2 linked regions of the Oryzias latipes genome follow. The protein of the gene in region 2 binds, or shares a complex with, the protein of the main gene of each other region. Links are inferred from orthologs where the notes say so. Each region holds a gene or a part of one and is shown on either strand. Other genes may lie near its edges.

Region 1 (4,510 bases), on a different chromosome or scaffold from region 2:
TCTGGGGATTAGGGGTCAACAGATTCTCAGGTACAATATGACAACCGCTCCAGAGAGACTGAGGGTCGATGGGGAGCCAAAAAAAGTGCTCAAACTACGGTAGTCCTAAAGAAAATCAAGAGACATGGAAGGATTGTGAATCTCAAATACTCTGTTTTTTTCCGAAAATCAAAAAAAGAAAACTCAAAAATAGTAATTATATCATGATAATGACATTAAGTTATAAAATTAAATGATTTATTTATCTTTCACATCTATTTTGACTTAAAAAATGAATTGATTTAAAAAAAACAAAAAACAACCCTAATTCCATGAAGAAGAAAAAACAATAAATCAATCACAAATATGGAAAAAAAGGTTTTTGTTCATCAAATTTAATTAAAACATCATGATACATATAAAAAGTATTTCTTTATTTACCATGTCAGAGAACATCTACAGTAAAGCATCAAAGTACATTTTTGAATCTGAACCTGATGCAGGTCTGCTGTGATCTTTGTCGAACATTGAGACAGGCGCTACATACAGCTCTCTGTCACAGTCGGCCGACATTAGCAATTCTAACTCTGATGTATGAAGGACAAACAGAAACCCGCAGTGAGAAACAGACACACACAAAGAGCCATTGTGATGACCATCCTTTACTCAAGTACATACAAACACAGAAAGGAGATCAGAGAAAGCATGCATGCCCACTGCGCCAATGTCATTACTGGGGTGAGGGGGCGTACCTCGAGGTGACGCCAGCATGCGCCTGATGTGCTTGTTAGCTTAGAAGTGAATGCATGAAGAGGGGAGGAAAAAAAATCACTCCGTTTAAGATGTAAATTTGTGTGGGTGTCACAGCCTTTGCCTCAAAGCCTTTCACATCAGATAAGCAGCATAAGCCTTCCTCTGACAAGATTTGAGGCTGGACTCAAACAGCTGAAGTAACAAGCACTTCATTTATTCGTCCCACTTAGGGCTATGAAAATTAAAACGCTTCCTCGTTTTTGTTAGCAGCTAATGAATACTTCAAAAATGAAGGAATAGATGAAAGACATCACTTAATTTTTTTTTTAAATATAGTAATAAATAAATAAAATGACCTACTGTTCACAGATATGTCGATAAGTCCCTCTACATCTGGGGATAAGGGGTCAGCAGGTCCTCGGGTACAATTATGTCAACCGCTCCAGAGGGAATGAGGATCAATGGGGAACCAGAAAACACCAAAAAAAAAGTGCTCAAACTAGTCCTAAAGAAAATCAAGAGAAGATTTATGTCAGGAGTACATATAAATGATTACAGATTGCATCCATCCTATTATAGTGTAAAAAGTCAATCACATCTGTGACTGTCACTTTAGTGCAAAAAGACCTTAAATCTCCTTCCACAAAGGAACTTAAAACTAAAAGGACTGTAAAGGTGTTTTACAGATCAATACAAAAAGCAAGACAGTCCAACAGAAGGTCAACATCTCTTGATGACAACTACGGCGTCATGAAAAACAAAAGTTAGATAACAGCATTAAAATGCAAATAATCTAGTTTTAACCCAACTTCTAACCTGTAGAAACACAAAACACATAAATGCATACATTTGGCTAGGGTTGAATGGCAGTGAAGCTAAGTAGGTGACTCAACCCCTTCAGTTCAATATACAGCAGGTATCATGTGTCATCCCCGGACGCTGTAACTGCGTTTTACCTCGACTCAAATGAACAGGAAGGCGCCTGGTTCGAAACTTGACAAAAACTTTCTTCAACACGACTTTTTCTTAACGAATCGTGGTTTATGACAAGGCCGTGGCGCACTGTTATCTTTTATAACCGAAAGCCGCTAATAAAATTTGTTTTGTTTTCGAGACAACTTTTTAGCGGAGTTGGTTTCGAAAGGAAGGGTGTGGCTATTAGTTCCCCATTGTAACAAACGCTCTAACATCGTGTAAAAGTTACCCCAATCGACTGACGACTTTACGTAAACGCAAACACGAACTGGTCACACATTTTACCAGACAAATTTTAAACATTACCTACAAAAAGTCTTACAACTTACGTATTAGCATTAAGTTAGCATATAAGCTAACTAACGTAGCTGGAGATCAGGGTTAAACTCCGAACTACAGAAACGATAAAACTAAAGATATTGTGGCCAATAGACAAACAAGTTAACAAACAGATTAACACTAATTCACCGCTTGAATTTATTTTACAACTTTGTTAATGTTCCATAGCGGCTCACTAACTACTTCGCTCAGACACCGAGTGCTAAGTTAGCTTAGGGCTGAACTCTCAGGGTGTCACTACTTTACCGAAAGTTTTACTTAAAACCCCTTTAGAGTTACCAGAATACATACACAGAAATGAGAGGTATAAATAAACGTTCGCTTATCTAAATCACTATAAATGTTTGCACGAACAACTCGTCAGAATCCGCGGTTAGCAACCGTTAGCTTTTTAGTCTTTTAAATTAGCCTCTCAGCTAAGCTATTTACCAACAAGCACCAGTCTTTACCAGCAGCTTTACAAGTTGTCCGGGTTAAAATACAATAGCTGCTTACTGTATCCTTACTGAACTACTGCGTCATAATTGAATTAATTACTTCGAAATAACTGATTTCAACAGTGAGTAGAAGCCTGATGAGACTCACCGTGTTCCGCTACGTGTGCGCTAAACGTTCCGAGCCTGTGGATGTACGGAAGGTTCAGCGGGAGCCGCTGATTGGACCAGACTCGGCCAATTATGGCAGCGCTCTGTAGAGCGGTCACTTCAGCCGCGCGGCTCCTTCTGCTCTTATCATCACATAGGAGCAAACACATGACATGAAGTCTGTTAAAGCGCATGTGCTTACATCTATGCAGCAGGGCTCTAGACTGCCGCTAATTTAGTCGCGACTAAATTTTTCAACGGTGCGCCTAAAAAAAATCCATATTCGCACGCACCGGTGCGCCCACACATTCTGTATTGTAGTGGCCGTGGGGAAAAAGCATCATCTCCGCGAGTCTGAAAGTCTCGTTCCTGTATGTGTGTGTCTGTGCAGGTGTAACACACTTCGAATAAGAATGGTTGTTTTTGTTGATGAGAATGTACATCTGAGCCGTTCAGTTTGGGTTCGTGCTGGCGTCACCTGGAGCGGATCGTGAAAAAAGTCTGTAAAAATTCTTAAACATCGGAGCTTTAGCTCCTGCATTTACAGTATTTCCAGTACCGTAACTTTCCCACCTTTAACGCATTGAAAGTAATTCCAGTGGACTCTTGAGCGGAGAAAAGCAGCTTTCCGCTGATGTGCGCAGCACCGTGCTGTAGTGAAGTGTTTACGTCATCAACGTACATCAGCGGATACCGCAGCGGAGAAAAAAGCATTGCAGAAAAGTGGAGCCGTGGCTCCATACGTTAGTAATGTGCTGCGTATATCGGCGCAAAACCAGAAAGAAATGCCGCTTTTCTCTGCGTCAGAATCAGCGGATTCAAGAGGATCGCGAGAACGGTAAAATATTTACCTTGTATGTCAAAAAATAAATAAGTTAAAAAAAATGTTATTTTCGCTGCAACAGTTTTGATGTTAAAGGATTAACTACGCTGGCCCTAAAGTTCAAATCACATCAATAAATCACTCAACGCAAAAACATGACAATTTAAAAAGCAAAATAAATAATAAGACATTAAGTTTTAGAAATCAAAACAAAATTTGAAAATGACAAAATGAAATGTTTTAGAAAACAAAAGTAATCTTCAGAAAACAAAATGTTAGAAATGATGATTTGATGAATGATGATTATGGGACATAGCTGATTGGATGATGACGTATGTCCATCATATTAACAGTTATTAGACATGTAGCACCTCAAAACAAAAATATGAATGTTACTGCTGACCCAAAAAAAGCTGCTGCTGTCAAAGAATATTTTAATTCAGGACAAACATATGAAAAGATTCTGGATCTGCTCTGCACTAATCACAAAACTTTACGTTTTTTTAACTGAAATTTCAGCTCAGTGATGCAATTATTTTTTATTCATTTTCAAAGCGTTACCAGTTGTCTTTTAACCATGATTTTTCAGTTTTTAGCCAAATATTTTTTCTAAACTGTCGTTTTCTTGGACATAGTTTCTGTAGAGCGGCAGTTCATTACCTCTGAGTTGTGGGTGGGAATGTTTGGACTGGAGTAACCCTCTACTGACATTTCATGGAATCTCTGGTTACACTCTGTCCCACGAGCTTACAGCCCCTCACAATTACAACCATGGCCGGCCCTCCCTATACGCGAATTACGCAGCCGCGTAGGGCCCCCGTCACTATCAGGGCCCCGAAGTGGCGAAAAAATAAACAAAAAAGACCCAAACCTGGCAACCAATTTCATAGAATTTACGTACCAGCGTGCGCTCTGAATGTTGTGCAAGAGAAAGTTGCCTGCACTTTTGTGATCCCCCCTTCAACACACCTGAACCAATCTGGCAACCCAAATAAGGACGTTACGCCCCTCTTAGCAGCGATTGGTCAACATCATTGCATCTGAGCCTGGCACACTG
Region 2 (4,365 bases):
GCTCTCACCTGGTGAAAGAAAAAGACAAGATACTTGCATTCAATGGTTCTGAGGGGAAAAAAATGACAATTTGAAAAGAGCTTTCTTGGAATGTCCCATATGAAAAGTTTAAAAATAAATATATTTTTTGATGCAGAGAAACATTTTTTTGTTTCATTTATTTGTATGTTTTTGGGTTTTATGTAGTTTTTTTTTTAATTGTTCAAATTTTGCAAGTTTTGTTGATTTTCCCCCTGTTGCTGTTATCTGGGACATAGGATTTATTTCTGAGTAACTGCAGTGTTTTGGGAAATGTTTTTTTTAGATAGGCTTCCTGTTTTTTTTGTGTGCTTCCTGAAAAAACTGTGTTTTCTGTTGTGTAGCTGCATTATGTGAGGGCTATCTTGTTTTTGAAATCACTGTCATGGTTTTCTTGTTGGTTGCTCTTGTTATGTTTTGATTGTTTATTTTTTTTGCATCCTGAAGGATACATTTGCGTGTCTTCACCTCTCCTGGCTGTGGGTTGATCATGCTCACTATGTTCTTCCTGTCCTGTGCCGTTCCGCTGTTGTTAGGGCAGTTGCTTGAGCCTCGGGGATCGTTGCTGACATGGTTTTGCTGGCGGCGACGCAGACTCAGGTTCATGTCACTGATGCTCCTCCGAAGCTCTGTGTTTCTTCCACGGTGTCCACGCTCGCACTCCTCTGGCCCACCACCAGATGACATCCTGGAGCGCCTCCAGCGCACGCCTGTTACCCAGACATGCTCAGCATACATCAGTTTTACCATGAGTCATGCATAAAGAGACAGAACACCCTTGCATGCCATCAGACATATCTGAGAAAGCTCACACATACCTTGGTGGCTCTCCCCATCCCTCTCACGCTCCTGCTCTCTTTCCCTTTCCTCCCTCTCATAGTCCTCTTTCCTGTGGATTTCAAAGCGCCGCTCAAATCCATCCTTAGGTCGCCACATGTCCACTAACAACAAAGGGCATTCCCATGGGGCAACACTTCTCCGGCACTCTGTCTCCCACTTGAAAGCTCCATCTGGTTGTTGGACGGGCTTACCAATGACATCACACAACAAAAAGTCTTCAGGGCTGTACTTTTGGAGAACTATAAGGTAATGAAGGAAGTATAGAGAAGGACAAGAAGAGGGAGGGTGGTTATTTTTCTAAACTCTGCTGTTTATCTTTTTGTATTAAGTCATTCCCAACTGGTTCATTTTTTTCAAAAGCAGTAATGGATTGCAGCAGAGGTCACCGTGAAGAAAGAAAGAAAGTCCCCCTCTGTCATACCTGCGTCATCGTTCTCATCCCTCTCTCTTTCAGTGTAGCGAGTGATGACCTGGGAGATGAGCTGCCTGGCTGTGGAGTGACTGTTAGCCAGCAGGGAGCGATAGTTGGCTCCACTGGAGAGAGCATCACCATAGATCTTTATCAGGCCCGGGGCAGAGGAAGAGGCTGGGGGCAAGTAGTGATGGGAGGAGGGGGTGGCAGAAGAAGCCCAAAGCTCTCTCTCCCTCTCTCCCACTGCTCGGTCCCGATCACTGTTGGAGCGCCCCCGCAGGAAGAGCTGAGAAATACGCTTTGTGCGAGACTGGGGAGCTGCAGGCTTTGGCCTGAGGAAGGCCGGTGATGGAGATGGGGAAGGGGAAGGGGAAGCCAGTGAGGGAGTGGAGTTAGACAGGGATGAGGAAGGAGCAGAGGGGGCCTCGTGGAGTGAGGCTGCGTCCGAACTGGTAGTTGACCTGAGAATGGTGGCGGGGGGTTGGGGCAGATGGACGCGAGAGGAAAGGAAGAGGAAGAAACAAGCCAGCTGTAAATTATGACTGACCAGAACAACCACAATAAAACATACAGATGACAGTGAAACTAAGATAAGACAGCATCAGTTCAATTTTCACTTAAGCGGGCAATGAGACCACAGATAAATATTCATCATGACAGTGAAGCTGAATATAGCATTAAAGGAAATGAGAACAGACTGACTTGACAGAGATAGCACTGGGCCAGCGACCTCCGAGCTTGGCAAAGTGTTTCCTTGGGGAGTTAATCCACAAACCCACAGGGAAATTAAGCTTTCCAAATCGAGGACTCCCAGACCCCTCCATCTAACAGAAAAAAAAAGAATTTTTGTTTTAAATAACACACGATTTCTTTAAAAGTTCATCAAACTATGACAAAATGCGCACATGTCAGGTCTGTCATCAGCTTTGTGTCATCAGTGCCAGCAGAGAAACAATAAAACAATGGGATGATGTCACTATCAAAAGAGTATAAACAGGATACCTACAGCAGGTTGTCAAGATTGTAAACACATGTACACACGTTTACAAAAAAGGCCTTGAAATAATTCTGAAACAGGAAGCGTGTTTCCAAGGGCTCAGGCCCAGCTGTTGGAGTGACAGGGAAAATCCCATTCCAGAGCTCTTTCACATCTCATTCTCCCACTCATACATTTGTATAAATCGTGATTTCAGATTTGAGAGCAATCGCTGCACCTTTGTGCAAAACCACCACCTCTTTAAAGGTTTAGACAGGTCTCAGCTTGAGAAATGTCCACACCTAAGATCTATTCTTTTCCTACCAAGCAGAAGTGATAGCGTTCTTTGAAGAGCCTCCTGCACTTTGAGAACAAACAAACACGGTAACTTCAAATGAAACCAACTCACCCACTGTTGCTTGTGGCCTCTGTTAAAGTTCGCTGTGAGGATCCTTTCACCAGCCTAAAGAGTATTTGCTGTTCAAAGCGATGTGGTAAGCGTTGCCTTTTCTTCACAAGAACGATCCATTTTTGAAAAGCCCTAAATGTTAAACATGGACACCCCTACTTGCAAGTATCCATCAGTTGTTGTCTCTACTAGAACCAAAACACGTTTCTTAGATTTTTCTGTGGAAAAGTGGAAAAGACGTGGTGCCTCTTTCTGTCTGGCTCACAGCTGCTCTGGGTCTATAGATAGAGTAACGGGCCTATTGTTCCAAGTGACAGAATTTCCTTCCTTTGCTTTGGACAACACCTATATCCTGACTGGGAGAAGGAGAGGGAGAGATTGGTAGAAAGTGAGGGAAGGGTACATTTATACTCATATAGGATTTCGACACCTTTTTAGGAATAATGTGAGCATCACACACAGATCCAAATAAATATTCTGTTTTTCTTGTGAAAATTAAAAAAAAAGGTAATTTCTCCTGTGACCGATGTGCTTTTACAGGAACTACTAAAAAAAGCCGGGAAATACTCTCAAGATTGTTGCTATCAAGTCTGGCATTGTTGTGCGAGTTAACCAGACAGGCACACACTAACAAACAAAACTCTCTAAAAAAGGAATTATGTGGACTGTTGCTGAAAAGAGGATGAAGGAAATAGACAGACAGGAAGCTCAGTGTAGACACCTGTGACCTTTGACTTGCTCTTCAACAGAAGGATGCTGACGCATTAAGAAAGGACACTGTCTCGTGTCCCAATTCAATGACTTTTGTACCATCTGAATGGTTGCTTTCAACTTCCTGTAATGACAGAACAGACACGCTTGTTTAAAGTCATCCAAACTGTACACTTTTTTAACACAAGCCCAATGTACGTTATTAGAATCAAGATTTTCATGACTGTTACAACTCGTCAATGGCTTGGGGCACTTTTAAATGTGAAAAATTATAACACAGTTTTGGGGACACAAACTGTTTTATTTTATTTTATAGGTTGGTCATGGTGACATAACCGATTACAGTAGACTGGCTGTCTTAAGTGTTAAAATATTGTGAAAACTTCTCAACCATTATGTTTAACAGACCAGCACGATCAGGCTGAATAACATCGGGGTAGTGTAAAAGATGAAAAAGGAAGTCTGAAGTTTTATTTTGAAAAAAAGAAATGAAAAAATAAAGCTCAATTCAATAACCACAAAAGAACCAAAAGTGACAACAGTGTATGACGCAGTAGGCAGAAATTAAACCTACTTACATTTTTTTCTCTAATCCTCATCTACATTCTTCAGCCTAAAATGTTTATTTATTTATCAATTTATTCACGTTTGAAAAAGATTCTGGAGTCTCCAGTGTTTAAAACAAAAAAACTTGTAGGTCCTAAATAGCTTATTTCCCAGAATGAAATGAGGCAAATTTTAGTGATGCTTCAGAAGCAGAGCTAGAACATCATACGTACAAAGGGGGATGAGAGAGGGGCAGAATACTTTTGAAGGGTGGCAAATTCAATTCAATTTTATTCAATTTTATTTGTATTGCCCAAATTCACAACAACAGTTGTCTCGATGGGGTTCGTATCGGTACTATTGAAGAAGTAAAACATAAAATCAAAAGGATCATGAATACATAGAATTCAATAAGAAAATACTAAATTTAACAAACAAACGGACTAAACTAAA

The links.
Region 1: the proteins of ras-interacting protein 1 (region 2) and ras-related protein O-Krev are in contact, whole or in part, in a crystal structure (PDB 5KHO), measured with the Homo sapiens proteins. The link is inferred for Oryzias latipes from reciprocal best matches to the Homo sapiens genes RASIP1 and RAP1B. Residues at the interface, in NP_060275.2 of Homo sapiens: Val147, Lys149, Ala156, Ser157, Gly158, Ala159, Asn160, Tyr161, Lys162, Ser163, Val164, Leu165, Glu181, Arg182; in NP_001010942.1 of Homo sapiens: Val24, Gln25, Asp33, Pro34, Thr35, Ile36, Glu37, Asp38, Ser39, Tyr40, Arg41, Glu54, Leu56, Phe64.

What each region holds. Positions count from the first base shown.
Region 1 is NC_019865.2:21,780,026-21,784,535, forward strand, and holds the start of ras-related protein O-Krev, read right to left. Parts: upstream 2,858-4,510; 5' UTR 2,632-2,857; intron 1,238-2,631; 5' UTR 1,093-1,237; intron 1-1,092. UniProt on the Homo sapiens protein: GTP-binding protein that possesses intrinsic GTPase activity. Contributes to the polarizing activity of KRIT1 and CDH5 in the establishment and maintenance of correct endothelial cell polarity and vascular lumen.
Region 2 is NC_019874.2:19,945,527-19,949,891, forward strand, and holds the start of ras-interacting protein 1, read right to left. Parts: upstream 2,954-4,365; 5' UTR 2,656-2,953; intron 2,095-2,655; coding exon 1,973-2,094; intron 1,732-1,972; coding exon 1,280-1,731; intron 1,098-1,279; coding exon 837-1,097; intron 729-836; coding exon 487-728; intron 9-486; coding exon 1-8. UniProt on the Homo sapiens protein: Required for the proper formation of vascular structures that develop via both vasculogenesis and angiogenesis.